Linked DNA regions of Oryctolagus cuniculus. The protein of the gene in region 4 purifies or fractionates together with the protein of the main gene of each other region. This does not show direct contact. Links are inferred from orthologs where the notes say so. Each region holds a gene or a part of one and is shown on either strand. Other genes may lie near its edges. The genes, in order: RAB3GAP1, RASSF1, VCP, VAPA, PITPNM1, STK3 and PITPNM3.

What was found.
Region 1: the proteins of VAPA (region 4) and RAB3GAP1 purify together in Homo sapiens (affinity purification with mass spectrometry; 4 studies listed by BioGRID and IntAct, counting the BioPlex papers as one, with this or other methods). This does not show direct contact. The link is inferred for Oryctolagus cuniculus from reciprocal best matches to the Homo sapiens genes VAPA and RAB3GAP1.
Region 2: the proteins of VAPA (region 4) and RASSF1 purify together in Homo sapiens (co-immunoprecipitation; 3 studies listed by BioGRID and IntAct, counting the BioPlex papers as one, with this or other methods). This does not show direct contact. The link is inferred for Oryctolagus cuniculus from reciprocal best matches to the Homo sapiens genes VAPA and RASSF1.
Region 3: the proteins of VAPA (region 4) and VCP purify together in Homo sapiens (affinity purification with mass spectrometry; 3 studies listed by BioGRID, with this or other methods). This does not show direct contact. The link is inferred for Oryctolagus cuniculus from reciprocal best matches to the Homo sapiens genes VAPA and VCP.
Region 5: the proteins of VAPA (region 4) and PITPNM1 purify together in Homo sapiens (co-immunoprecipitation; 4 studies listed by BioGRID and IntAct, counting the BioPlex papers as one, with this or other methods). This does not show direct contact. The link is inferred for Oryctolagus cuniculus from reciprocal best matches to the Homo sapiens genes VAPA and PITPNM1.
Region 6: the proteins of VAPA (region 4) and STK3 purify together in Homo sapiens (affinity purification with mass spectrometry; 4 studies listed by BioGRID and IntAct, counting the BioPlex papers as one, with this or other methods). This does not show direct contact. The link is inferred for Oryctolagus cuniculus from reciprocal best matches to the Homo sapiens genes VAPA and STK3.
Region 7: the proteins of VAPA (region 4) and PITPNM3 purify together in Homo sapiens (co-immunoprecipitation; 3 studies listed by BioGRID and IntAct, with this or other methods). This does not show direct contact. The link is inferred for Oryctolagus cuniculus from reciprocal best matches to the Homo sapiens genes VAPA and PITPNM3.

Annotation. Positions count from the first base shown.
Region 1 is NC_091434.1:108,467,217-108,471,251, reverse strand, and holds part of RAB3GAP1 (rab3 GTPase-activating protein catalytic subunit), read left to right. Parts: intron 1-746; coding exon 747-801; intron 802-1,035; coding exon 1,036-1,407; intron 1,408-4,035. UniProt on the Homo sapiens protein: Catalytic subunit of the Rab3 GTPase-activating (Rab3GAP) complex composed of RAB3GAP1 and RAB3GAP2, which has GTPase-activating protein (GAP) activity towards various Rab3 subfamily members (RAB3A, RAB3B, RAB3C and RAB3D), RAB5A and RAB43, and guanine nucleotide exchange factor (GEF) activity towards RAB18.
Region 2 is NC_091441.1:98,976,509-98,981,174, forward strand, and holds the start of RASSF1 (ras association domain-containing protein 1), read left to right. Parts: upstream 1-1,774; 5' UTR 1,775-1,923; coding exon 1,924-2,173; intron 2,174-3,119; exon of another isoform or gene 3,120-3,361; intron 3,362-3,692; coding exon 3,693-3,799; intron 3,800-3,856; exon of another isoform or gene 3,857-4,377; coding exon of another isoform or gene 4,378-4,524; intron 4,525-4,666. Other genes in the region: ZMYND10 (zinc finger MYND domain-containing protein 10), read left to right, coding at 233-405, 637-762, 849-1,212, 1,301-1,587. UniProt on the Homo sapiens protein: Potential tumor suppressor. Required for death receptor-dependent apoptosis. Mediates activation of STK3/MST2 and STK4/MST1 during Fas-induced apoptosis by preventing their dephosphorylation.
Region 3 is NC_091432.1:198,024,964-198,028,998, forward strand, and holds part of VCP (transitional endoplasmic reticulum ATPase), read right to left. Parts: intron 2,153-4,035; coding exon 2,050-2,152; intron 812-2,049; coding exon 678-811; intron 601-677; coding exon 465-600; intron 121-464; coding exon 8-120; intron 1-7. UniProt on the Homo sapiens protein: Necessary for the fragmentation of Golgi stacks during mitosis and for their reassembly after mitosis. Involved in the formation of the transitional endoplasmic reticulum (tER).
Region 4 is NC_091441.1:67,121,869-67,125,903, reverse strand, and holds the end of VAPA (vesicle-associated membrane protein-associated protein A), read right to left. Parts: intron 1,363-4,035; coding exon 1,204-1,362; 3' UTR 595-1,203; downstream 1-594. UniProt on the Homo sapiens protein: Endoplasmic reticulum (ER)-anchored protein that mediates the formation of contact sites between the ER and endosomes via interaction with FFAT motif-containing proteins such as STARD3 or WDR44.
Region 5 is NC_091432.1:4,587,827-4,591,861, forward strand, and holds the end of PITPNM1 (membrane-associated phosphatidylinositol transfer protein 1), read left to right. Parts: coding exon 1-184; intron 185-399; coding exon 400-570; intron 571-973; coding exon 974-1,138; intron 1,139-1,246; coding exon 1,247-1,395; intron 1,396-1,492; coding exon 1,493-1,603; intron 1,604-1,825; coding exon 1,826-1,942; intron 1,943-2,026; coding exon 2,027-2,175; intron 2,176-2,248; coding exon 2,249-2,398; intron 2,399-2,479; coding exon 2,480-2,663; intron 2,664-2,788; coding exon 2,789-2,917; intron 2,918-3,385; coding exon 3,386-3,649; 3' UTR 3,650-3,856; downstream 3,857-4,035. UniProt on the Homo sapiens protein: Catalyzes the transfer of phosphatidylinositol (PI) between membranes. Binds PI, phosphatidylcholine (PC) and phosphatidic acid (PA) with the binding affinity order of PI > PA > PC. Regulates RHOA activity, and plays a role in cytoskeleton remodeling.
Region 6 is NC_091437.1:124,029,372-124,032,588, reverse strand, and holds the end of STK3 (serine/threonine-protein kinase 3), read left to right. Parts: intron 1-1,137; coding exon 1,138-1,296; 3' UTR 1,297-2,498; downstream 2,499-3,217. UniProt on the Homo sapiens protein: Stress-activated, pro-apoptotic kinase which, following caspase-cleavage, enters the nucleus and induces chromatin condensation followed by internucleosomal DNA fragmentation.
Region 7 is NC_091448.1:50,078,084-50,082,118, forward strand, and holds part of PITPNM3 (membrane-associated phosphatidylinositol transfer protein 3), read left to right. Parts: intron 1-2,299; coding exon 2,300-2,489; intron 2,490-2,901; coding exon 2,902-3,024; intron 3,025-3,350; coding exon 3,351-3,535; intron 3,536-4,035. UniProt on the Homo sapiens protein: Catalyzes the transfer of phosphatidylinositol and phosphatidylcholine between membranes (in vitro). Binds calcium ions.

The DNA.
Region 1 (4,035 bases), on a different chromosome or scaffold from region 4:
ATAATTTCAGATATTAAACATTACCCATAATTTTGGTACAGTTATATTTTGGTGTTTTACTTAATCAAATGAAAGATTTTAGTTAGCATGTCTATTGCTGTGGAGAATCATGATATGAAAATATAAAATGGTGATTGATCCAGAAATGTTTATGGTCTTTCATTTGCCAGTCTTTGTGTAGCTGGATTCACTCCTAGCTTTAACCAGTTTGCTCTGGAATCTGTTACTAACCCAGAAGTGTATACAATGTGAAGGAGAATTGCCCAGCTTGCTGGGAACCTAGCAGCTAAAGACTAGAGACAGTATGGGGTCTGTTTGGCAAAACAGAGGTAGAATTCTTGGTTTTTATAGTAAGAATCCACTATGATAATTGACAACTGAATATATAGACTGATTGACTTTGTATGATATGAAATATTGTATGCTGGCTATTTCCAGGAATAAATCTGGAGATTTTTTTTCTCATTTTAAATTTGTATTAACCTGAAAACTATCACTAGTTTGTCACTATGTTTTGAAATAATGTTAAATTTGCTGTTGATGATTTTTAGACTAGGAGGATAAAATGAATGTTGGTTTTTTCATTAAAATGTACTCCCCATCTGGATCTTAGTTACCCTACCTATAGAAATCTGATTTTGATTGCTTATCAATAGAGCTAAAAATTTTAGTACTATAAAAAATAAGTATATCTGAAGCATTTTTACTAAAACTTAACTTTCTTTTCTCATTATTTTATTTGATAGATTAGCAAGTGGACCCCCAGATCTAAGATGTTGTTTACTACATCAGAAACTACAGGTAAAGATGTCCCACAGACTATATAAATGTGGTCTTGACTTCATCAGAGCTTATTCAAATACTTAATAGAATAATGCATTATAGGCTATTCTCATTGTGCTGCTGTCTGTTGCTTATCATCACTGATGATTCACATCAGGGGTGAGGGTCAGAGAATGAATTATTCAGGTGGTGAATAGATTTTTATTTTTGTGTAACTAATTCAACTATAAGTGTTATTTTTGTTTTCTTAAGATGTTAAATTGTTGTATTGAAAGAAAGAAGGCCCGTGATGAGGGGAAAAAGACAAGCACTTCAGATAACGTCACTAATACATGGTCAGTGGATGCTAGAAAAACTGGAGACCAGCTGGGGCCAGATAATCTCAATGATGCAGATAAGGAGAAGGGAGAGATGGGAAAGTCTTGGGATTCCTGGAGTGACAGTGAAGAAGAATTTTTTGAGTGCCTAAGTGATACTGAAGAACTTAAGGGAAATGGACAAGACAGTGGCAAGAAAGGAGCCCCTAAGGAGATGGCAAATTTAAAGCCAGAAGGACGTCTCCATCAGCATGGGAAACTTACACTGCTGCATAACGGAGAACCTCTCTACATTCCAGTTACCCAGGTAGGATGCACTGGCTTTCTCAGTTTATTTTTTTATGTATGTAATTTCATTCTGGTAGGAACTGATATCTTAGGGTAAGGGAAATTCCTTATAAAAAGTTGATGTTTAAAGATTTAAGATTTGAAATCTAAATAGATTTTATTTTTTAGGTCATGCCATGTTTGAATTTGAGAAATGTTTTAAAGTTTATAAGTAGATAGTATCTCATCATGCATAGGGTATCTATTTCTTAAATTGAGTGGTAGATACACAAGTGTTTGAAGACAAAATCCAAAAATATGGAAAGGAAAAAACAAAAATTATTCATCGCTTCAAAAATATACTTTGGAGTAATTTTATACTGTTAGGACATAGAACAGCAACATTGCCAACCCTAAGGAAGAAGAGTTTTTGTTGATTTGTTTTCGTGTAAATAATAAATAGCTATGTTGTGAAAAATTCAATCTAGAAAAAGATGAAAGCCAGTACCCAGTAACTCATCTCTAATCCCTAAAAGTAACCTCTGTTTTTGGTTTGGATTATATTTCTTACACCCGTTTCTAGGCATTGGTACACATATCAAAAAGTTCATGAAAAAATCAAAAATTCATCTTGGTCCAAAAAGCCTTGAATTTCATGCATATGAGTCATCCTATCAAAGGTCAAGAAATGGGGCTGGTGCTGTGGTGTCCTGGGTTAAACCATTATCTGCAGCACCAGCATCCCATGTGGACACCAGTTTGAGTTCTGGCTGCTCATCTTCCAATCCAGCTCTCTTCTATGGCCTGGGAAAGCAGCAGAAGATAGCCCAAGTCCTTGGGCTCCTGCACCCACATGGGAGACCCAGAAAAAGCTCCTGAATCCTGGCTTTGGCCTGCTGCAGCCGCAGTTGTTGTGGCTGTTTGGGGAGTGAGCTAGTGGATGGAAGATCTCTCTCCTCTCTTTCTGTCTGTCTCTGCCTCTCTTCCTATAACTCTGGCTTTATTTATTTATTTTTTTTAAGATTCATTTTATTTATTTGAAAGAGTTACAGAGAGAGGTAGAGACACAGAGAGAGATCTTCCATCCGCTGGTTCACTCCCCAGATGGCCACAACACCCAGAGCTGTGCGGATTCGAAGCCAGGAGCCAGGAGCTTCTTCCAGGTCTCCCATGTGGGTGCAGGGGCCCAAGGACTTGGGCCATCTTCTGCTTTCTCAGGCCATAGCAGAGAGCTGGATCGGAAGAGGAACAGCCAGGACTAGAACCAGCACCCATATGGAATGCCGATGCTTCAGGCCAGGGCTTTAACCTGCTGCACCATAGCGCTGGTCCCAACTCTGGCTTTCAAATAAATAAATGAATCTTTAAAATGGAAAAAAAAAAAAAAAGAAACATGTATTATGAAAAAATCGTGGATTTTAAAATATTTTTTTGTCAAACATTTTTTAATTCCGTGTTTCGATGAACTTTTTGAAATACCCTCATACTGATAGATATTTTATGGACTTATTTTTGGTTTTTGTGTGTTTAAGATTGATTTATTCAAAGGCAGAATGACAGAGAAAGGGAAAAAAAGAAACAGATCTTTCATTTGCTGCTTCACTCCCCAAATGGATGCAATGGTCAGGGCTGGGCCAAGCGGAAGCCAGGAGCCTGGAACCCCCAAGCTGGGTCTGCCATGTGGGTGGCCTTCCTCTGTTGCCTTCCCAGGCACATTGGCAGGAGACTGGATCAGAGTAGCTGGTACAAGAACTGAAGCATGACTTTGTCTTAACCCCGCTGCTCCATGATGCCAGCCTGTTTTTGTTTTTAAATGTGTGCACTGGTGTGTAACATTTTGTTTAACAAATATGTCATGAAGATCTTTCCATGTTACTACATTGTAGACTCCTTAATTTTTCATTGCTGTGTAATATTTCATGGCTTAGAAGAGTTTTGTAGTTCATTTAACCATTCCCCTTTTGATCACAGTATTTGTTCTATGCCAGTTTTATTTGTACCTTGTGTGTTCCTGTATGAGTGCTGCTTTAAGGAGGATAATGAGAAAAGGAATTGCTGGGTAAACTTACATATGAGTTACTAACTTCCTTTTCAGAAAAGCTGCATCTGTTTTAAACTTTCATCTGTGCTGCATGTTAAGGGAATAACAATTCTCTCTCCAATTTTCCTTCCTCACTTTCTTTTCACAAGTACCTAATATATGTCAACTATCATTCTAGACTTGGGGAATTTGTAACCAGCTAGACAACAAGACCTTCACAACTGTAGTATTTTACTTTGAATTTTTAAATAATTGATGTTACTTTTAAATAATTGATGTTATGAATCATAGAAATTTTTGTCTATAATGGTGAAAAATAAGTGTTTTAGATTTTATTTTCCTGATTTTTGATAAATCTAAGCATCTTTTATTTATTGAGCATCTTGTCCTATGAATTGCCTTTCATTTATTCTTTTAGGTTGCTATCCTACTCTTAATTCATATGAATTCTTCATATTTCAGATATAAATCCTCATATACTCGTATATTATATTTTCTCAGTCATTTTTTTAAATGTCTGTTACTCATTAAGAGTTAGTACATTGTTGTATAGAGTTTGGTGAATTGTTTCACATTTATACGCCCAGGTAACTACTTGCCAGATCAAGACAGAAAATTCTCATTATC
Region 2 (4,666 bases), about 32 Mb from region 4:
GTGGGCAGTTTGCACACAAACGTTGCTCCTAGCTCACAGAGGATACCAGGATGCCTCATCCCAAGTGGGCCTAGAGCTGGGCTCTGCAGCAGGCAGGGCCCATGTGTCCACTACTGAGGACTCACCTTGCACGGGGGCCCAGGCTTTCCCACCATGCCCAGGCAGCGGTCAGTTCCCCCGCCCGCACAGCGGACTCGCTCCCAGAGACTGCTTTGCCCGCCCCTCTCCCCAGGCAAGCTGCAGCGATTTGAGGGCGGCCGTTGGCATACGGTGGCCCCTTCGGAGCAGCAAAAGCTGAGCAAGCTGGATGGGCAGGTGTGGATCGCCCTGTACAACCTGCTGCTGAGCTCTGAGGCCCGGGCCCGCTACTGCCTCACGAGTTTTGCCAAGGGACAGCTTCTCAAGGTAGGGGGCTCCCCTGCACCAGCTGCTCCAGCCCAGCGCCACCCCTCCCCATCCCATCCCCTCCCCACCCCCACCCAAGTCCTCCTTCCAGACCTGAGCTTCAGGTGACACAGCCAATGCGACACAGGCCCCGCAGGTACCCTCAGCCCAGCCCAGGCCTTCCCTGGTCCCTGGCCCCGGTCCCCTGGCCGGCACCAGCTTCACCCTGGCCTCCCCCGGATTCCCTTGCAGCTTCGGCCCTTTCTCACAGACACCCTCCTGGACCAGCTGCCCAACCTGGCAGACCTGAAGAACTTCCTGGCCCACTTGGCCCTGGTCGAGCCCCAGACCCCTAAGAAGGACCTGGTGTTAGAACAGGTAGGCCGCCGTGGGAAGCCCGCTGCTCGGGACCACGGTCCACTTTGCCAGCTCCTCCTCGGCTACTCTCCGCTTCGCTTTCCTAGATCCCGGAAATCTGGGAGCGGCTGAAGCAGCAGAACAAAGGCATGTGGCAGGCCATCGCCAAGCACCAGCTGCAACACGTGTTCAGCCCCTCGGAGCACGACCTGCGGCTGCAGGCAGCAAGGTCAGGCCTGCTGAGCGGGGATGGGCGCCAACGGGAGCCGAGAGGCATGGGTGTGAGCGGGGGTGCCCCCGGCCCCCGCCTGCCAGGCCCAGCCAGGCCCCGTGACCCTCCGGCAGGTGGGCTGAGACGTACAGGTTGGATGTGCTCGAAGCGGTGGCTCCGGAGCGACCTCGCTGTGCCTACTGCAGCGCAGAGGCCTCGAAGCGCTGCTCGAGATGCCAGAATGAGTGGTACTGCTGCAGGTGAGGTCTGCTGGGACCGCGGACCCCTGAACCCCACCCCTGTGTCCCCCACAAACACTGCCAGCCTCACCAGCCCCCCTGCCAACAGGGAGTGCCAAGTCAAGCACTGGGAGAAGCACCGGAAGGTTTGTGTCCTGGCTGGGCAGGGCGACAGAGCCAAGTGAGGGCTGTGCCTGCCTGCACAACGGCCAACCACCCGGGCCAAGGCAACCCACCCCAAGCCTCACGATCTCATCTGGCTCCTGCCGCTGGTGCGCACAGCAGAGATCTGCTGACCCACCCCCACCCCCACTTCCTGCCCCACCCGCGGGTAGGCGGAGGGCGCTGCCTCAGCACACTGGAAGGGAGCCGGATGTGGGGACCCTCTCCCTGTAGCACAATAAAGCTGGCCCCCAGGCACACGCCAGTCTTGGTGTTACGCTTTGCGGTCGCGGTCGTCGTTGTCGTCCTGAGCGGGTGTGAAGGAGGGGAGGAGAGAGAGAGAGAGAGGGCAGGAGCTCTGTGAGAGCGTCCGACCCGCCCCGCCTGCGGGCCAGTACGGTCCCCGAGCCCAGGTTTCCATTGCGCCGCTTGCGCCGCTCTGCTCGACTTTTTCCCGCCGCCCAGCCTGGATCCTAGGGGCGGCGCCGAAGTCCCGGCCCGCCCTGTAGCCCCGCCCGCCTCGAGATCGCTAGCGCCCAGAGCCGGCCGAAGCCCCGGCCCAACTGGGCCATGTCGGCGGAACCTGAACTCATTGAGCTGCGGGAGCTGGCACCCGCCGGCCGGGCCGGCCCGGGCCGCACCCGGCTGGAGCGTGCCAATGCGCTGCGCATCGCGCCTGGCACCGCGCGCAACCCCGCTAGGCAGCTGGTCCCCGGCCGCGGCCACCGCTTCCAGCCCGCGGGCCCAGCCACGCACACGTGGTGCGACCTCTGCGGCGACTTCATCTGGGGCGTCGTGCGCAAGGGCCTGCAGTGCGCGCGTGAGTAGCGGCCCCGCACACCAGCGAGAGCAGAATGGGTACCCGAGGGGCAGCTGCTTGCGAGTCCAGGCTCGGTGGAGGTGGTTGGCGGGGACGGTCCCGCGGACCGGGTCCGTTACCTTTGCTCATCACCAAAGAGAGTGCGGGGTGGGGAGAGGGGCTGGTTTACCCCTTTTGGCAGTCCACCCGCGCGCGGCTGGGGCACAGGGGAGCAGCCACCTCTGTCCATGAGTAACGGATGCTGACTGGAAGCTTCTTGTCTTTTAAGGCCCCTGGCCCTTCTTGAGAAAGGCTCTGTGCCTACTGTCCTCTAACCCGCACTCCCAGACTGTCTCTTCCCAGGGATTCACTTGCCGGGTCCCCCTCCAGAACCCTGGTGTGAAAGGAAACTGTGCCAGGCAATGGACAGGGGATGGAGAATGTTGGGAACTTGGGCAGCCCCCTCCCCGCCGCAAGCAGGGGGACCTGAGTCAGTCTGTAGCAAACACCTGTTTCAGGCCGTGAGCCAGGTGAACATGGAACCCGTTACACCTGCGCAGGCCTCACGTAGGGGTTGCTTTCTCACCGGCAGTGCGCCAGTTAAAATGGCCTAGGGAGCTTCTACAGCTTTGCAACCCCCTGTGCTGGATCCTGCTTCAGCTGCTGGAAGCGGCCCAGGCATCAGTAATTTCTTTTAAAAAGCCTCCAGGTTATTCAATGTGCAGCCTGGATTGACAATCACTGCTGAGGCCTATTTAGGAACTTGGGGGGTGGGGGCAGGGCTCAGGCCTGTGTGCAGGTGGAGAGCCTCGCACCGGGCACAGGTGCCTGTCAGGAATTCAGTGCAGGCTCTGGGTGGGGGTGGGGGACAAGGGAGAGGATATTTCATTGCTCTGGAGGCGAAATCAAGTGACAACCGTGATGAGAAACAGGATAGTTTGTGTGTGGAGAGAGAAGGGAGGGACCATAGGTGAATTCGGGGTTTTGCCTGAAACAGCTGGGGGAACAGTGGCTATTTTTACTGAAGAACCCTGGCAAAGGTAGGAGACCCAGGAGGCAAGTGAGTTAAACATTGGCCGTGTGTGTCTGAGATGTCTGTGAAGGTCCTGGCTCACAGGGGGAGGTTGGTGCTGACTGAACCTTGGATCTGGGGCAGGCGACCGTAGACCGGCAGGGGAGCTGCAGGGAAGTGGAAGACTGGCCGGAGGGGTAAGAGAAGGGAGGGGAAGGCCAGACGCTAGTGTGGACGGGTGTTGCGGTCCGAGGAGACAGCTGGTACTAGACGGGACGTGGGTTAAAGGTTTTTCCTTCGAAGTGCGAGCGTGGTGGGAGGAGGGACTCCGCGCTAGACGTTACAGACCCAGCCGTTGAGCAGGCCTGCATCCCTAACCGCCCGGAGCTTTTCAGACGCACGGGATCCACCCTAGAGGCTGTAGCGAGGCCGGGTACACAGAGCCTGGCGGGCCACGGCCCGCAGCCCCGGGCTCCTCTGCAGTACCGGAGCCACGGCGGGAGCCTCACCGCCGGCCCTCTCCCGCAGACTGCAAGTTCACATGCCACTACCGCTGCCGCGCGCTCGTGTGCCTGGACTGCTGCGGGCCCCGGGACCTGGGCTGGGAACCCGCGCTGGAGCGGGACACCAACGTGGTGAGCGCGGGGTCGAGGGGAGCAAGGGGCGGGATGGCGGGAAGCACAGACGGGCAAGGAAGCCCCAGGGCCAGCGCGAGCGTTCTAATGGCCGAGTGCCCGGCACCAGAGAGTGGCTAACTGCGCGTGGGCCTGGAGGGGGGCCCGGGGGTCCGGTCTCGGCGCGGCCCCGCGGGCAGTCATCCCACGGCCGCCGAGGCGCGCCAGGCTCAGCGCACGCGCACTCCGCACACCATCCCACACCCGCTTCCGGGCCCGAGGCGACGTTGGTGCACATGCGCACACACGCGGACGCGCTCCCGTGGGAGGTGGGGCCTCCGAGGCCGGGCTGAGTGGAGCTGCCTGGGCGGTGAGGTCATTCTAGGCGGAGACGCCCGAGCGGTTGCCGCCCCTCCACGTTGCTCCCCCAATGAGACAAGAGCTGGGGCCCAGCTGTCTACGTTTCAGTCTTAACGGTTGCAGCTGGCGCGGGGGACGGCGCAAGCGCACACCGACCCACGCGTACACGCACGCACGCGCCGCGGGCGGAGGTTGGAGGGGACGGACGCGCGGGACGGGGGCACCGGGCTGGCGCGGCCATGGGCGAGGCGGAGACCCCGTCGTTCGAGATGACCTGGAGCAGCACGACAAGCAGTGGCTACTGCAGCCAAGAGGACTCGGACTCGGAGCTCGAGCAGTACTTCACGGCGCGCACCTCGCTGGCGCGCAGGCCGCGCCGGGACCAGGTGGGGGCCGCGGGTGCTGACCCCCTGGGACGCCGCCCTCCCCGGCGACCCGCCGCCGCGGGAGCGGGTGGGCAACCCCGGCTTCCCGTCGGCGTGGCGCGGCACCGTGTGTCGGGCTCTCGGCTTAGGGTCAGAAGTGGGT
Region 3 (4,035 bases), on a different chromosome or scaffold from region 4:
ACTCCACCTGTTCCAGGTCCACATCATCTGCCAGCTTCATGTTCTTGGTATGGATCTGAAGAATTTCCAAGCGTCCTGTAGCATCAGGGATTCCAATATCTACCTCCCTGTCAAAGCGACCTGTGGGACAGTGTGTGAACATAGACAGGGCTCATTTCTGGACCAGAGGGAAAAAGGAAGAAGCCTAAAGTGACTGATCATCTCAGTTAACTCAGAACTGTACTGGCATTAGCACTGAAAGTCCTATGTCTCTGGAAACCCCTCAGTCTCAAGCCAATCAGGATGGCTGGTCACTCTAGACAGGATACAGGATACAAGGACCCTTGTGCCCTACCACTGCAAAAAAACTTCAAGGAATCCTCATAATCAAATCAGGTGACTCAGATGAAGGATAGAGATTAAACTCAATAGATCTATAATCTCTCTATGAGCAAGGAAAGGGTGAAGGAAGCTGGAGTCCTTACCAAACCGTCGCAGTGCCGGGTCAATGCTGTTGGGTCTGTTGGTTGCTGCCATAACTATCACGTGTGCCCTCTGCTTTAGTCCATCCATAAGGGTCAACAATTGTGATACAATACGCCGCTCCACCTCCCCGTGAGTCTGGCAGGACAAATGTCTGGTCAGAAGCAATGTTAGGACCTTTCAACCTCCCACCATTCCCTCGGGTAAACTCCTACTTTCTCTCTTTTGGGAGCAATGGCATCCAGTTCATCAATGAAGATGATGGCAGGAGCATTCTTCTCCGCTTCCTCAAAGGCTTTACGAAGATTGCTCTCAGACTCACCAGCCAACTTGCTCATGATCTCAGGACCTGAAAGAAAACAAAATGAAGACAATGATAAAATTACAACCTTTCCCAGTCCCAAAATAAATCAGTTACCTTATCTGCCCTAGGATAGGTCCTGGATGAGAAGATACTAACTTCCGTCTACCTTCTCACCAATGCCAGCTATCACCCAGGACAGCCACAAAGCTGGGGTAGAGAAACCAAGCACATTTTTTTCAAAGTGTAAAGGTCTCTGGCAAGAGCAGGAGACATCACACAAGCTGGATCTCTACAGCTTAACATTCTCTAAGAGACAGGTGGTGTTGGCCCATCTTCCCTAAGCCTCTCAAATAGGCATCATACCTTTATTTTATTTTTTTTTTTAATTCCAACTTGCTCCCCCTTAAATATCTTGGGGCTGGCATTGTGGAGTAGCAGGTAAAGCTATCACCATGCCACACAAGCATCCCATATGGGAACCAGTTCACGTCTCAGCAGCTCTACTGCCAATCTAGCTCCCTGCTAAAGGCCTAGAAAAGCAGTGGAAGATGGCCTAAATGCCACCCACATAGGAGACCCAGATGAAGTTCCTGACTCCTGGCTTCAGCCTGGCTCAGACTGGGCCCTTGTGGTCATTTGGGGAGTAAACCAGCGGATGGAAGATCTCTGTCTCTCCCTCTCTCTGTAACTCTTTTAAATACATAAATATTCCTTACAAAAATGTACACAACTTTTTCTAGGTTGAGGGGAAAAGACAAAAAGTATCAGTATAAAATATCTCCCACTTGGCCGGCGCCACGGCTCACTAGGCTAATCCTCCGCCTGCGGCGCTGGCACACCGGGTTCTAGTCCCAGTCGGGGCGCCGGATTCTGTCCCGGTTGCCCCTCTTCCAGGCCAGCTCTCTGCTGTGGCCAGGGAGTGCAGTGGAGGATGGCCCAAGTGCTTGGGCCCTGCACCCCATGGGAGACCAGAAGCACCTGGCTCCTGCCATCGGATCAGTGCAGTGCGCCAGCCACAGCGTGCCGGCCGCGGCGGCCATTGGAGGGTGAACCAGCGGCAAAAGGAAGACCTTTCTCTCTGTCTCTCTCTCTCACTGTCCACTCTGCCTGTCAAAAAAAAAAAAAAAAAAAAAATCTCCCACTTGTTGCTGACCTGTCTATAATGTACCCCAGCAAAAGATGCTAAAGTGTGCATGAGAGCATGGCTGCAAATGGATGTTATCAATGAGCTGTTCAGGCCAGGGCTAGTTCTAGACAGACACAAGACAAATCAAATCTCTTACCATTGATCAGGAAGAAGAAGGCCCCAGTTTCATTTGCCACAGCTCGGGCAATCAGGGTCTTCCCTGTTCCAGGAGGTCCATAGAGCAGGATTCCCCGAGGAGGCTGGGGACCAACATAAGAGCAATTAGAATTAGACTCCTGACTTCTCAACGCCACTCACCTCAAACTGGCTTGACTAGGACTCTAGAAAGGGTGAGAATTAGAATTCAATTCTGGGAGCCGGCACTGTGGCGCAGCAGGTTAACGCCCTGGCCTGCAGTGCCAGCATCCCATATGGGTGCCGGTTCAAGTCCCAGCTGATCCACTTCTGATCCAGCTCTCTGCTGTGGCCTGGGATAGCAGTGGAAAACGGCCCAAGTCGTTGGGCCCCTGCACCTGCATGGGAGACCCGGAGGAAGCTCCTGGCTTCCGATTGGCACAGCTCTGGCCGTTGCAGCTAATTGGGGAGTGAACCATCGGATGGAAGACCTCTCTCTCTCTGTGTAATTCTGACTTTCAAATAAATAAATAAATCTTAAAAAAAAAAAAAAAAGAATTCAATTCTGACACCATTAAGAATGAGCCTTTCATAGAAAGGTAAGACATTGTGGCAAAAAACGTTCTACATGAAGGATCTCTGTTACTGAGACCCCAGCAGAAAGAAGTGGCCATCAAAGAAGGATGTACTCTACTCTAAAGGGAGAACTTTCACTTTGCTTGTGGCCTTGTCCAAATATTGACAAAGTTTGTGAACTCAAAAGGCTTCCATAGCCTAGGTAGCTCATGTCAAGAGCCTCGGGTAGTCAATGACATCATACATAAGCACTGTTAATAGTTAAATCAACAACAAGAGTCACTGTGCACTAACTTCCCATGCAGGACCTCTGTCCTCAGTGAGTTGTATATCAGAGTTAACTGTAAAACTAGTTCTCAGTTTGTATGTGTGTGTGCAAATTGTTGAAATATTCTGTGTACAAAGTTAATTGAAAATCAATCTTAACGGAGAATGGGACTGGCAAGGGGAGAGCGAGGAGGAGGAGGAGGAGGAGGAGGAGGGGTGGGAAGGTGGGTATGGTGGATGGTGGGAAGAATAACTATATCCCTAAAGTTGTACAGTTGTACTTATGAAATTTGTACAAAAAAAAAAAAAAAAAAAAAAAAAAAAAAAAAAAGCCTTGGGGGCTGGCGCTATGGTGCAGTGGGTTAAGCCATTGTCTGCATATGGGTACTGGTTCAAGTCCCAGCTGCTCTACTTCTGATCCAGCTCCCTACTGACACACCTGGGAAGGCAACAGAAGATCGCCCAAGCAGTTTGGACCCTTGCACCCATGTGGGAGACCTGGATAAAGCTCCTAGATCTGGCTTCATCCTTGCCCAGCCCTGCCCACTGCAGCCATTTAGGGAGTGAACCAGCGGATGAAGATCTCTCTCTGCAATTCTGACTTTCAAATACATAAATAATAAACTTCAAAAAAAAAAAAAAGAACAATAAGCCTTTGGTACAGCAATTAAGACACCCCTTGGGATGCCTATATCCCATTTCAAAGTGCATGGGCTGGAATCCCAGCTCCACTTCCAGCAACCTGCTAATGTGCACCCTTGGAGGCAGCAGTACTTGGAGGCTCAACTACTTGGGTGGCTGACACTCTCGTGGGAGACCTAGATTGAGTTCTAGGTTTCTGGCTTTAGCCTGGCCCAACCTTAGATGATGCATTTGGGGAGTTAATCAGAAATGTAAAATCTTTCTGCCTTTCAAATAAAATTAAAATAAATATTTAGGGGCCGGCGCTGTGGCACAGTGGGCTAAAGCCCTGGCCTGAAGTGCCGGCATCCCATATGGCCACTGGTTATAATCCCAGCTGCTCCACTTCCGATCCAGCTCTCTGCTATGGCCTGGGATAGCAGTAGAAGATGCCCCAATTCCTTAGGCCCCTGCACCCACGTGGGAGACACGGAGGAAGCTCCTGGCTCCTGGCTTCAGATCGGTGCAGCTCTGGCTGTTGCGG
Region 4 (4,035 bases):
AAATTTCCTATCCTAGGACAAAATAAATGACATCAGACTAAGTGCAGGAAAGTATCAGACCCTCTAATGTGTATTTATACTGAAAGTATGTTTCACACGGTTAAGATTTGTCAAGGATAAAGCCATTTGTCACAAAGGAAATTCCCAAGGCTTGCTCAGTAATTGCCAAAATGACATGTCAAATTGGGCGGCAGAAAAAACACCTAGTTTTCACTATAATTGTGAGATATTATAAAGAATTACTAGACGAGGAGAATAAGTCTTCCTTGAGAAGAACATGATAAGGATGGAGTAAAGGTAAGGCAGTCCATGGCATACGAGAACCTCACTACAAGTACAGCACTTTTATTCTCCTGGCATTGCTTATCTCATTTTTTTACAAACTAATGATTATGATCTCCCAAAATATCAAACATAGCTTGAAACATCATCAACTGCTTTCCTTAAGAGAATGAGAACTTTTAATTACAAATACTGTAACAACCAAAAAACTTTCAATGCAAGAGCAAAATTAGCATTATAAATTTCAAATTACCCTACACAGTGGACACCCTGACACCCTCCCCCTCAATGACACGACAGACACAAACAGGCTATCGAGCAAGAATCTGTTAACAGTTTTATTTTTTTTTATGTTAAATACCATGGGACAGGATTGTAAGGATGAAAAAACTCAGTCAACAACTGCCTCACAAGGGATAAGAAAAATTCTGCCATGATATTAGCAAAGGTAAAGGAGAAAATTTACACTGTAAGAGGCACCATTTCCCCACAGAACACCTCTTGGCATTTCCTGAATGAGTGGGATTAGCAATCTAAATAAATCATATTTCAAGAGGTAACAGCAACAGATAAAATTTAAAGGGATTATTAAAATAACATTTACAAGACTCTGAACAATTCTTGAACTCTTATTAAAACCACAAAGAAAGAACAATTCTTTATTTATGAATTTCATAAAGGACTGAATGTGCAACTGACATCTGCTAGTGATGATCTGATAATATACAATTTGTCCAGTAGCCGAACAGTTTGTTTTTATTGTGTTTTCTAACCGTAAGAGATCATTAAAGGCAAAGCCTATTATGACGCTGTACACACAAAAAAATGGTCACCGCGGGCCATACTACCAATGAAATGGTAGGTAAACAAATCTTTTCTGGTCAAGAGAAAAAAAAGAAATAGCACTCGGCATGCTTCACTCTACAAGATGAATTTCCCTAGAAAGAATCCAATGAAAATGGCTGCAATTACAACAAGAAGTGAAGGGAGAGGACTGGTGACGTTATCTCTGAAGGATGCAGTTGAGGTGGAGCCAGGTTTATCCGAATGTGCTACCTTTCTGAGCCTTAATCCTTCATCCTAGGAAAAAAGAAAACACAGATTTTAAAAGCAAATATGCACAGAAATGAGAGCTAAAAATCTTTTCAAAGACCTATGGCTTTGGGGATGGAACACGGATCTGAGTCGAAGGAAGCTCCTGGCTTCAGCCTAGCCCTACCCTGGCCACTGCAGCCATCTGGGAAGTGAACGGGCAGATGGAAGATCTGTCTCTCCCTCTCTGTAGTTCTTTCAGATAAATAAATAAATAAATCTTTTTTTTTTTTTTTTTTTTTTTTTTTTTTTTTTTTGACAGGCAGAGTGGACAGTGAGAGAGAGAGACAGAGAGAAAGGTCTTCCTTTGCCGTTGGTTCACCCTCCAATGGCCGCCGCGGCCGGCGCGCTGCAGCAGGCGCACCGCGCTGATCCGATGGCAGGAGCCAGGAGCCAGGTGCTTTTCCTGGTCTCCCATGGGGTGCAGGGCCCAAGCACCTGGGCCATCCTCCACTGCACTCCCTGGCCACAGCAGAGAGCTGGCCTGGAAGAGGGGCAACCGGGACAGAATCCGGCGCCCCGACCGGGACTAGAACCCGGTGAGCCGGCGCCGCTAGGCGGAGGATTAGCCTAGTGAGCCGCGGCACCGGCCCAGATAAATAAATCTTAAAAAAAAAAAAAAAGTAGTAGTACTGAGATGTATCTGTGAATGAAATATCAAAAGGGCCTGAACCCAATTCTATAAGCCAGTGGTCTTCAATGTTCTTTTGGTTTTTAAATAGCAGGATTTTCTTTCAAATAAAATCTCATGTAGAGTAGCACCATGGAAAGCAGGGATGCAGAATCTTTTCTCTACCACGGATCATTTGGATATTTCTACCATCATTTGAAGACCATACAAAATTATCAACTTTGCTATAGATTTACTGAATTTCAAGTCCCACCTGCAGTTGCCTTGGCAAGGCCACAGCACAAGATTTTACGGGTTGGATGCTCCCCACCCCTAATATAGAGCAGAGACCAGGAATAAAGTCTCAGTCCTCTACCTCCCCATTCTGTCTTCCTAGTTCCAGTCCTGTGCCACCCTAGTCTCCACTTCTCCCCTCCAAGCCAAGAGACAATCGGCAGCTTTTTATATAAACCTACTGAGCACCCTAAGGAACACATATTTCATAGAAGAACAAAATGTGGAAGTCATTATAGGCAAAAAACAAAGAATAGCATCCTTAAAGTCCAAGGAGTGTGAGTGGGAAACAGAGTGCTCCCACTATCCATACAAGTGCTAAGGCTTGACAGCCCTCAAGGAGGTACTATGGAGTATGAAGAGTCACAGAAACTCGAATCACAAATCCTTTAGAGTTCACACATCAACTCTAGATACAGCGCCTTTGAGTACAGTTCCTATACACATTTAACAGAAGGAATCATCAAATGTAGATGAACTCCCAGAACTTAGCTTAAATAACCTTTGTATCATCTACTTTGATATGAAAACTTTCAAGGCCTAAAAAGCAATGTAAAGGTCTTCAGATCTTGAACCAAGTAATCACTTGTTAGAGACAAATGATTCACAGACCCCATTCACATCAGTCCTCCTTCACCAGCCCATTCCCTTATTCACTCAAATACATGAAATGACTACTACATGCACGAGCTGTGAACGCAGACAATAAAACAGTCTGTCCCCAAGGAAATCATTGTCCAATAAAGGGAGAAAGATCTCCAACAAATAAGAGCAGAAATGTAGTAAGCTGTGTAGGACAAATACAATGCCATCTTACTTGTTGTGGAGGGAGAAAACTAGACTGAAAGGGTGAAAACGGAGTGCCTTTGTGAATGCACGTGTATGTGTTCTGTGGTTAGGAACAAGATTTCAGGGCCGTACAGTCAGAAGGAGGAGCTCCTGCTAATGTGAGAGTGAGAAGACAGGCTCTGTCAAGTAATTCAGCCCAACACTGCCCAACACAAATATAAGCCTCAAGTATGAGTTGCATACATCATTTTACATGTTTTAACTGCATATTGTAAAAAATAAAAAATTAGGAGACCAGCGCTGTGGCGTAGTAGGCTGAGCCTCTGACTTGGCGCCAGCATTCCATATGGCGCTGGTTTGTGTCCCAGCTGCTCCTCTTCCAATCCAGGTCTCTGCCATGCCCTGGGAAGACAGTGGAGGATGCCCCAAGTGCTTGGGCTCCTGTGCCTACATGGGAGACCAAATCAGAGTGAGCTCCTGGCTTTGGATCGTCTCAGCTCCAGCCACTGTGGCCATTTGTGGAGTGCACTGGCAGATAAAGACCCTTTTCTCTGTCTCTCAAATAATACCTCTACCCTCAAATTTTAAAAAAAGTAAAAAATATTTTATCAATACTTTCAAAATTTTTAAATATGTAACTATATTTTTAAAAAGCGTTTCTCTTCCTGGTTCTAAGTTTTCAACATCAGGGTGTATTTTACATTCACAGTACATCTCTGGCTGACATTCCCACGTGAGGGTGGCTACAGTGGAGGACAGGGAAGTCCTAGACAGTTCTGCACAGCTGGGGCACAGAATGTCAAGAAGGGAAGAAGCAAAAGGGGCCAAAACAATGCTGAGGCCAGCCACAGCTTCCAGGGTGACAGCTGAGGAAAAGGACGGTGGGTCTTGAGAAGCCATGGTCAGACTGTTAAAAGGGGTAGGGTTAGCGATAAAAAGACCAGAGCAAAATGGCCTAGCTATTCCCA
Region 5 (4,035 bases), on a different chromosome or scaffold from region 4:
GTCGCCTCCGGGGAGCCCCGCCGGGCAAGCACAGCCTCCTGCCCAGCTGCTGCCGGCCCCGAGGCGCCCGACGGCCCCACCGGCGCTGCCCGCCTTGACTTCAAGGTCTCCGGCTTCTTTCTCTTCGGCTCCCCACTGGGCCTGGTGCTGGCTCTGCGCAAGACCGTGATGCCCGCCTTGGAGGGTGAGCCTGGGGGCCCCTCTCCCCGGCTCCCCTTGCCTGTCCCCTCCCAGATGCCCCCCACGAGATGCTCCCCGAGATGGGGGTCAGCGGGCACCAGGAGTGTGTCATCCTGAGCCGAAGGCTCCCATCGCTTCTTGGCCGGAGCAGCGGGAGGAGCCTGTCACTGGCCGCCGCCCCCAGACTGACTCCTCCCACCCCATCTCCTGGGTGCCCAGTGGCCCAGATGCGGCCGGCCTGCGAGCAGATCTACAACCTCTTCCACGCCGCTGACCCCTGCGCCTCCCGCCTGGAGCCTCTGCTGGCCCCCAAGTTCCAGGCCATCGCCCCACTGGCTGTGCCCCGTTACCAAAAGTTTCCCCTGGGAGACGGCTCGTCCCTGCTGCTGGGTATGCCCCCAGGCAAGGCAGAGGGGACGGGGAAGGAGGCGGGTGCTAGTTCCCGCAGTGTGGGTGCCCTCTGGATCCCTCGGAGCCCCTGAGCTGTGTCCAGGCCCCGGGGCAGCCGTGGGGGCTCAGCCAGACTGCCACGCGGGCATCGGGGCGGCCGTGAGCGGGTGGTCGCTGTGTCTGGGGCTCCAGGTGCACTTGCCTGTGGGCCCCCTGGTCTGTCCCCCGGCCCCCGAGACCAGTGGGGCTGTGTGGGGACAGGTGTGCGTGTGGGGTGCTGCCTCCTGGGGTGAGCCAAGGTGGAGACAGCGCCCCCCCACTTCCACTCAGCTGAGACCCGTGGGGGTGGAGGGAGGCGGGCAGGGGTGCAGGGCCCGCTGCTGAGCTCGCGGCGCCCCGCCAGCCGACACTCTGCAGGCACACTCGGGCCTCTTCCTGGAGGAGCTGGACGCGCTGGTGCCCTCGACGCCCACCTCGGCCGGCGGAAGCTTCTGGAAGGGCAGCGAGTTAGGCGCTGAGCCCCCCGCCCAGCCAGCGGCCCCCAGCACCACCACGGAGGTGGTTAAGAGTAAGACGGGTGCCGGCCTGGGGGGAGCGGGCTCACTCCCACCGCCCAGCCCCGCGTGCAGCAGTCCTGCACAGGCGGGCAGACCCTGACTGACGGCCCCGTGTGCAGTCCTGGAGCGCTGGTGGGGGACCAAGCGCATCGACTACTCGCTGTACTGCCCCGAGGCGCTCACCGCCTTCCCCACCGTCACCCTGCCCCACCTCTTCCACGCCAGCTACTGGGAGTCGGCCGACGTGGTGGCCTTCATCCTGCGCCAGGTGGGCCTGCGGAGGGGTCCCCGGCGCCCAGGGCGGCGCAGCGCCCATCAGCTCCGGCCCGCCCCCGTCACACGGCCTCGCCCCGTGTGCCCCACAGGTAATTGAGAAGGAGCGGCCGCAGCTGGCGGAGTGCGAGGAGCCGTCGGTCTACAGCCCGGCCTTCCCCCGGGAGAAGTGGCAGCGCAAACGCACGCAGGTCAAGATCCGGGTGCGTGTCCTGCCCCTGCGCCCGCCCCCAGGAGCCGCGCCCCGCAGCTGCGGGTCTGGAACCAGAACCGCTGTCCACACACAGGCACCCATGATCCCAGGGGCCGGGTCCCCAAACGTCTCCCCCAGGCCCGTTCCGCGGGGTGGGCGCCGGGGAGCCCCTCCAGCGCCGCCTCCCCCTTCTGTCCGGGCCGCACGCACTCACCCTGTCTCCTGCCTCCAGAACGTCACTTCCAACCACCGCGCAAGCGACACGGTGGTGTGCGAGGGCCGCCCCCAGGTGCTCAGCGGCCGCTTCATGTACGGGCCCTTGGACGTGGTCACGCTCACCGGGGAGAAGGTCAGGAGCCCGAGGCCCTGCTCCCCCTCTGTCTGCCCTGGCGCAGCGCCGGCTGCCTATGGACCTCCCCGCCCGCCCCCGCAGGTGGACGTCTACATCATGACGCAGCCGCTGTCGGGCAAGTGGATCCACTTCGGCACCGAGGTCACCAACAGCTCGGGCCGCCTCACCTTCCCCGTGGCCCCCGAGCGTGCGCTGGGCATCGGCGTCTACCCCGTGCGCATGGTGGTCAGGTGAGCTCCGGAGGGCTGGGGACAGGCTGGGGCCGGCCACGCCCCGGGCCACTCACGGCCCCATGGACTACAGGGGCGACCACACGTACGCCGAGTGCTGCCTGACGGTCGTGGCCCGTGGCACAGAGGCCGTGGTCTTCAGCATCGACGGCTCCTTCACGGCCAGCGTCTCCATCATGGGCAGCGACCCCAAGGTGCGCGCCGGCGCCGTGGATGTGGTCAGGTAGGAGCCGCCACCCTGCTCGCCGCCGAGGCCCGCGGCGCCCGTGTGGCCGGCGGCGCTGACCCAAACCGTGCTCCGCAGGCACTGGCAGGACGCCGGCTACCTGATCCTATACGTGACGGGCCGGCCGGACATGCAGAAGCACCGCGTGGTGGCCTGGCTGTCCCAGCACAACTTCCCCCACGGCGTCGTCTCCTTCTGCGACGGCCTCAGCCATGACCCGCTGCGCCAGAAGGCCATGTTCCTGCAGAGCCTGGTGCAGGAGGTGTGCGGGGGGGGGGGGGGGGGCAGACCCTGGGGCACGGCAGGGGGCTCCGCGGTGCTGGGCACCCAGCCCTGACCGGCTGGGACCCTGTTTCTGTCTCCACCTGCCCGGCCTCCCCACCACAGGTGGAACTGAATATCGTGGCCGGCTATGGGTCTCCCAAAGATGTGGCTGTGTACGCGGCGCTGGGCCTGTCCCCAAGCCAGACCTACATCGTGGGACGCGCGGTGCGGAAGCTGCAGGCACAGTGTCAGGTGAGGGCCCAGGGAGTGAGGGGAGCCAGGCCCTGCCAGGGCCGAGCAGCCTGCACCCGAGGCCGTGAGGACCACTGCGCCCGTGCAGGGCCTCGGGGACCCTGGGTTCCTCCTAGGACGGGCTCGCGGCCATCCTGGCCCAGCCAGGCTGACCTGGGCGGTGACCCAGGCCAGGGCACGCCAGGCACACTCCCCCACTCTCACGGCCTGACGGTGGCCTTGACCTCAGCAACCTGTAAAATCCCAGCCACGGGCACAAAGCAAGGGCCTGCCAGATACCGGCAGAAAGACCCCATTCCCAGACGGGAAGACTGAGGCCCGAGGGAGGCAGACGTGGTAGTGAAGCCAGGACACCCTGGGCTCCCTGCGTACCCAACGGCCTCAGGGTGGGCTGTGCTGGGCCTGCCAGAGACCCCACCCCGCTGCAGGAGCCTGCGTGGACCTCACCCCTGCCCGCTCTGCCCACAGTTCCTGTCGGACGGCTACGTGGCCCACCTGGGCCAGCTGGAGGCGGGCGCCCACGCCCACGCGGCCCCAGGACCGCCGCGGGCAGCCTTGGCCAAGAGCAGCTACGGCGTGGCTGCGCCCGTGGACTTCCTCCGGAAGCAGAGCCAGCTGCTGCGCTCCAGGGGCCCCAGCCAGGCGGAGCGCGAGGGCCCGGGGACCCCGCCCACCGCCCTGGCCCGCAGCAAAGCCCGGAGCGTCAGCCTCAAGCTGGACAGTGAAGAGTGAACAGGACCCCGCCCTTCGCCAAAGCACACCAGGGCTGCGGGGGGGGGGGGGGGGGAGGGGGCGCGCCCCTGCACCTGTGTCTGCCCCTTGGTGTTACTTCCCTTTTGTGGGGGACCCAGCCCCGGGGGAGCGAGGAGGGAGTGGGTGAGGGCCCAGCGGCTTCTCCCGTGTGTGTAGACCCACGAAATAAACACCGCCTGCAGCCCACTGCACTGCCCACCCGCCCGGCCCCGCAGGGAGGGAAGGGGGGGTGGGAGAGGGGCCGCGCCCACCCAGGGGCACCGGCCAGACCTGGCTTCTCCGTGGCGCCAAGGCAGGGCGGGAGGGCTGCCCTGGGAGATGAGCCGCCTGCTTCTGCTGCCCCGTCCCCCCCAGGCCACACTTCC
Region 6 (3,217 bases), on a different chromosome or scaffold from region 4:
TTGGAGGGGAATGTGTTTTAAAAAAGTAAAAGCCACAGACAGTGTGCCCAAAACAGCACAGGTGGCCCGGCAGAACTTGGCGCAGGAGCCCCCTCTCTGTAATCTGCAGCCTACACGGTGGGGTCTCATACAGGGCCCGCGTCCATCCTTAACTGTTTATCCTTGTGTTACCCTCAGCTCATTTCTAAGTTCTTAACGCCACAGTACGTATTGATCTGAATAGCATTCTATAAATCATCATAGTCGCAAAGTTTGTGTCTTTTTTAAACCACTTGCCTGCTACCTCTGCTTTAATATTCAATTTGAAAGGAAACAGGGTTTTAGATTTTTTTTAATGTTAAGAAGATAAAAGCACGTTCAGTGACATATTTCAGGACATCTCATAAGCCCTTAGACAACATCCCTAAAATGTGTTTCTCAGGAGATAATCCATATCTTGCTGTTTCAACATAGAAATCGATACAGTAAAGCTTGGCAAAATGCCATAAATCCTATTATGCCTCAGAATAGATGTTATCGCTCTTACACACGTGACGTGAGACCTGTCTTCTGCCGTTGTCCATACCCCCAGCGTGGCCGCGCTCTGCTTCGTGTCCACACGCGCCAGGCCCACGGCAGTACTTGGGGAGCGCTGTTCGTACCAGGCTGGCACACCGGGGACGCTCATTTAAAACCATGTTTTATCAGGCTCGCCATGGGATTTCCCGACTGTGCTTAAAATGTGCACTTACGGTCACATGGAGGATCATGGCGCTGCCCAGGGCCTCATGGGACATTCCTGGGGTGACACTGCCCGTGGCCAGGCCTCTGCCGCTCCGAGCTGGGCAGGCCACCCAACAACCTGTTTGTTGGCGGGTTTGTCTTTGTGCCTTTTTTTTTTTTTTCAACAGATACATTTTTCTCCTTTGCTCTGTCCCAAAAGCAGAGGTTTTGATCATTTTGTTGCAAATTACTTGAGATTCTTACAAGATCTGGCTTCTGGGTTCTTTAGGGAATGGATTCCTGTTTGAGCTGTTGAACCATACTTCAAAACCGTTGTAAAGAATTTGCTGAAATATTTATGCTAAAACTCTTTAGTCTTGGACATACAGTAGGTGGTTTTACTACAGTAACATCTTTGTTTTCTTCTCTGTCTAGTTAAAAAACCTGAGTTTAGAGGAGCTGCAGATGCGGTTGAAGGCGCTGGACCCCATGATGGAGCGGGAGATCGAGGAGCTCCGACAGCGCTACACCGTGAAGAGGCAGCCGATCCTGGACGCCATGGACGCCAAGAAGAGGAGGCAGCAGAACTTCTGAGCCGACCTTTTCCTGTTTCCATGGCTATTCTGGAGACCAAGAAACCACTAAGAATTGAAGGAACATTGTGATTTTTTTTTGTCTTCTTAATCCCTTAGATTTACGCTCTAGGCCAAAGTCCAAAACTGATGATGGTACATACCCGGGTAACTAAAGGCAGACTCTCCAGTTGTTTCCACTGTGTTCTCATCTTTAAGTGACCAGAAGTGTGTTCTCCCCGCCCCCCCGCCCACTGCATACCAGCAGCAAAACCATGTTCTAGAACAAAGGCTATGTGTAGAGACCTTGAAAATCCAAAGCTATTGTTCCATTGTACAGCACTGAAGGGCTTTATGTCACAGTACTTTTTATTCCTATCTAGTAGCCTATTTATTGTATCTCACTAGGTAAACTTATTTATTTATGCTATTTCACATTGTCTTATTTTTTAAGGACAAGATCAGGATAGAGTAGGAGCAGGTGGGGACATTTTAATAGATAATGATGCACAACAAAATGATACTTCCAGCAGGGAGCTCTGGGCTACCTTCCTTGATTTCCAAGATAGTTTTTCAATACCAACAAAGCAATAATAGTAATAGTGCCCAAATGGATAGAGCATTTTTTATATTGAAGCAATAATTCCATTTTTACCTTTTGAGATTTTGTTTAATTGTTTTGATTTTTGATGTTTGCTACAAACAGAACTATATATATTTAGGTCAAACAGAGCTATAATGTTTAAAACCAAAGAAATCAGTGGAACCCTTGCACAAAAAAGCATGGGAAATATTTTAAAGGAAATTAAACCTTTTGACAAATGTACTTTGTTAGCGTTGTTTTGTGTTTCATGTGTAAGTCTGATAGCTAAACTGAATCAAACTGTAATAGCTCATCAAATTTATTTCCATGGAAATGCGTTCTATTGACACAGGACTTTTTGTTGATTTCATTTATTTCCTAGGAATTGGTAAACATCTTGTGCCTGATAATAAAATAGCAAAAACATTTGTACTGGACTGTGCAAGCCTTGGAGACTAGGGAAATAAAAAAGATTAAAACCGTTACAAAGAAACTCACTTCCAAGGGAAATGCGCACTGGTGAGACTGAGCTGGGACCACGTTTCCTAAGCTGCCTGTAGCTGTGCTGACAGTGTTCACTCTGGTGTGTTCGGTTACTACGTGGAAATCATGAAGACAAATACACTTCACCCAGCACTTTGCATCTCGTTATCTTTATTATCACTAACGTGGGTTTTTATTAACTAACATGGCGACTCCTCACTCAGCCCATCCCACGTGGGCGGTGCTCTGCTGCTGTCATCCACACTCGGGGACCTTGTGGTCATCACAGCCAGGGATGGGAGTTGGGGCGAGTCTCAGGCCAGCTCCAGCCTGCAGGAAAGCCTTGCCGGTCCTCAGCAACCTGGTATTCAGAACGAGTCATGAGGCCTCCCTCACTTTGCAAGGAGCTGGGAAGTGCGGCGTGCAGCCCTGCAGAGGGAGGCGGGGCGGACAGGCAGGTGAGCTCAGTGATGCCTGCCACAGGAGGTTCATCCTCCCTGGGAAGCTCCCCTTCCTTTTGAAGATGCATGAGTGCCCCAGGTAATACCAATGCAGTTAGATACAAATGATGAGATTGGAAAAATCGTGATGAATATTGAAAAAAAGGTTATTAAAAATGAAGACTGAACTTAGAATATATGTTTCAGCTCTCCCTTGATTGAGGTCTTTTGGGATCGTCAGATGAGCTGATCAACTCAAACACTCTACCCTTTTTTTTCCTAATAGATTTTCTTTTCACTCACCTGTCCAATACCTGCCTGATTTGGTTGAATCGAATGACTGATTTGCTGTCATCCAAGCAAAACCATCTCTGACACACACGCAGGTGGCCTGTGAAGATGATGCCTCTTCAGTTTGCTAAATTGGAAAATACATG
Region 7 (4,035 bases), on a different chromosome or scaffold from region 4:
CAGCTCCTGGCCCACCAGGGCCGTCCCTGGTGGAGTCTCTGCCCAGAGCTGGGTGGTGCCGGGTCCCGTCCCTTAGTAGCTTAGATCCACTTCCTGTGCTCGCTGGCCCAGAGAGGGAAACAGAGGCACTGAGGGGTTCAGCATTTTCCCCCAGGGCCACCCAGCAAATGGAGCCAGAGGGGAAAGCGGGTCACAGGCTTATAGCCCAAGAGGACCCTGTGCCACAGGGAGAGGGCCAGGGAAGCCTCCCTGGAGGAGGCGGCTTCTGAGTGTATAACAGGGTGAAATGTGTGGCCTCTTACCGGCCTGGATTAGAGACCCGGGGAAAACTGTTTCACCTCTCCTTGCCTCAGTTTCCTCATCTGTAAAATGGGGGTGATAACAGTGAGGAGCAGCTCTGGAGCTGGGGTGAGGCCCCTGCACGCTGGTGTGCATGGAAAGCAGAGCGTGTGGGGACACCCCGCCTGGGACTGGCATCAGCGGCCTCCGGCGCTGCTCGCTGGCATCTCCCTGTCAGTGAGGAGGAGGGCAGGATGTCAAGGGCAGCCCCTGGTGACCGCTCGATGCCTGGGGGACAAACCAAGAGAGCAGGGGCTCCTCTGGGGCCTAGGTCCCACCCCCAGCTCCCCCAGTGCCAGGTGTGTGGAGCCAGCCGGACACACGGGCTCCTCATCGCCGACCTGTGTCACAAGGGCCCCACTCGCTGGGCCGGGAAGCTGGAAGCTGGCAGCCCTGTGAGTTGGGGAAGGGAGGAAGGTCCTTGCCCCCCGGCCCCTCCCCCAGCACGACTCTGCCAGAGCTCCCATTTGAGAGAGCTGGGCTATGTGGGCAGCTCCCAGGGCCCCCGGAGAGCGGGAGCCGGTGCTGTCCGTCAGATGCGGCACTGAGGCGCAGTCCCCTCTCTGCCCGCACCGGGTGGGTGATCTGTGTCCCTGGGACCCCCACGGGGCAGCGCTCAGAGCTAGAAGGCGGGAAGGGGCTTAGGTCAGTAGCTCGCGTCCCAGATCCCTGGTGGGGATGTCCGGCAGCGCCCCCCGGCCCCTGCAGAGGCCCAGTCAGGAGGGGGAGGAGCCCTGGAATCTGCATCTTGGCCGCCCGCTCTGCAGCGGGCATCCGCTGAGCGGATGGCGGAGCCCAGACGATCCCGGAGTTAACTGTGCTGCTTCAAAATCAGTCTCAGGACCCTCCTCTCTCGCCAACCGCCCCCTACCCCGGCCCCCATGCCTTCTGACCTCCAGAGCTGGGTCACACCTGTCTCTGGGAAGACAGATGGCCAGGCCACTTGAGGGAACGGTGACCAGGAGCTTACCCGACCCCCAGGCAGCCCCCGGCCAGGCCCATCAATCAGCCACCGTCACTGCTGGGAAGGAGTGTGTTCCCAGCTAATTAAAATCTCTCTGGCTCCGGTTGAAGCTGTTTCCTCCAATTTGAGCTCTTTTGAGATGAGGAATGGTTGGTGGGGCTGGCCCTGCACTCCGTGGGGATTCTGCTGCGTGCCCCAGATCTGGAGGGTCCCCGACCCTGGGCCCTACGTCACCCTTGGACTATGGGGGATGGGCAGGCTCTGGGCCTGGGTTGGGGGGAACCTCGCTCTGCAGTGCCTCTGGGACAGAAGCCCCAGGGGACAGAACCAAGACAGGTGGAGAAGGCAGGGCGGGCTCCTGGCGGGGGGGGGGGGGGTCTCGTGGATCCGAGCTGCCCGGGGAGGGCGGGAGGGAGGGACTTCCTGGTGGGAAGACAGGGAGTGAGGAGCGCCTCTGCAAAGTCCAGAGGAGCCCCAGGGGTGAGTACGTGGGTGGACCCGCCCTCCTAGCCCTCTCCGTAGTCACAGATGTCCCCCAGAGCTGGGGGAGCCCCACACAGTGAACACGGCGTGGGTGCACAGCCTCTGAGCTGTGATCACCTCGGGATCCCCATGCCTGGCAGCCAAGCCCACCTCCTCCAGGAAGTCTGCCGTGAGGACAGGCCCCTGCCCTGACCGCTGCCAACTGGCTCCTCAGTTGCTTCCATCCCCCACAGTTGGGGTGTCCTTGGGGGCACGCAGAAGAGGGCAAGAGGACATTGTTCTTGCAGGAGACCCCAGGAATGGACACCGGGGACTCAGTACAGGCTCGGGTCCCTGCCCCCACTGCCGCCTGGGCTCTGACACACACAGCTCCTGCCCGGGGATTCCTCTAGGGTCCCTGGGGCCGAGGACCCCATGCCTGGCCAGCAGGTGCTGTCTTCTACCCGGTCCTCAGCCCCAACCCTGCCCTCTGGCCTGGTCCCAGCTGGGCTTACCCTGGGCCCCTGTCTGCAGCCTGAACCCCTACAGCCACGACGAGGGCTGCCTCAGCCACAGCCAGGACCATGTCCCTCTGGCCGCCCTGCCCCTGTTGGCCATCTCCTCCCCGCAGTACCAGGATGCTGTCGCCACTGTCATCGAGCGAGCCAACCAGGTGTACACGGAGTTCCTCAGGTCCGCTGACGGCGTTGGCTTCAGTGGGCAGGTAGGACAGCCTGGCTGCCCGACCCGGCCCAGCCTGCGCTGGGACAGAGGCTGGGCCCTGCCCCGGGGGGACCCACACAGACCATTCTGGAACCAGAGCATCTGAGATCGCAGGAGGCTTTCAAGTTCTTGGGGTTTGCCCTCATTTTACAGATAGGAAAACTGAGGACGACGATTGGAGTGTTCATTTGGAGCCCACGCTGGTCCCTGGCTTGAGCCGGATGGCCAGCTTAGGCTGGCCCCCCAGGCCGAGGTTAACCCTTGACCCCCTGGAGGAGCACCCCACGTGGTGCCTCCCAGGACAGCTCCTTCCCTGGTCTCTGGCTGGATGGGTACCCTCTGCTCCTGCTGGGTGTGGTGGGGGTTGGCGGGGGAGGGGGGCAGGCCTGCAGCCCCAGCTCTGCCTCTTCCAGGTGTGTCTCATCGGGGACTGTGTGGGCGGCCTCCTGGCCTTCGACGCCATCTGCTACAGCGCGGGGCCCTCGGGGGACAGTCCCGGCAGCAGCAGCCGCAAGGGGAGCATCAGCAGCACGCAGGTGCGGGCAGGGGCGGGGCGGGGCGGGGCGGGGTCTGTGTCCCTGGGAGCCCGCCCCTTGCCCCACCCGGGGTGGGGGGCGGGAATTGGTGCTGTCCTTCATGTTGGCACCGGGACGCACACAGGGACTCCTCCGGGAGTATAGCTGGAGAATGAGGCCAGCAGGAGGCTGGCCCACCGGCCTCCTGTCTTTGGGGCTGTAGGAGGCAGCCCGCGCGGGGGCTTCGGCGTGCCTTTTGGCGCGGAAGGGGCTCATGCTGGCCTGGGCCGGGGCTGGGCCCGGGGTCTTGGTAACGGCCGGGCCCCCGTCTCTGCCCGGTCCCACAGGACGCCCCGGGGGCGGTGGACGAGGACTGCAGCCTGGCCGGCAGCAAGCGGCGCAGCAAGAGCAACATTGACCTGTCCAGCGGGGCGGAGGCCGCTGAGCCCAAGAGGCCGCTGCCGCGGAAGCAGAGCGACTCCTCCACCTACGACTGCGAGGCCATCACCCAGCACCACGCCTTCCTCTCCAGGTGACCGGCCTTTCCACCAAAGCGTCCAGGGCGGAGAGCACGTGGGTGCAGTCATCCGCGAGGCCCTTCCCTGCGAGGCCTGCCCTGCAGGGAGACCTGGGGGCCTGCTTCCCTGTCCCTGCTCTGGCTGGCTGGCGGGCGGCAAGTCTGGGGGCAGCCGCTCCACCTCTCTGAGCCCCCACTTCCCCTTCTGCCCAGACTGCTTCACGGAGGGAATTGGGTGAACTAGCAGAGACGGGGTAGGCTGGGAGCCTCCCCAGCCGTGTGCTTCTCATTCCTGGGAAGGTGTGGGAAGGCCGTGTGGCCTGTTGTGGGGGACCCAGGGCCTGCCTTCTGGTCTCTGGTCCCCAGTGTGGTGGGTAGGCGAGGTGGGCCCCAGCTGGTGTGCCAGCGTGGGGTAAATGGCTCAGTTCATGCAGGGTACAAAGGAGGACTGAGCGGAGATGCAGCTCAGAAGAACTCTCTCTGCTTCAGTCGCCCCCCAACCCCGTCTCTCTCGC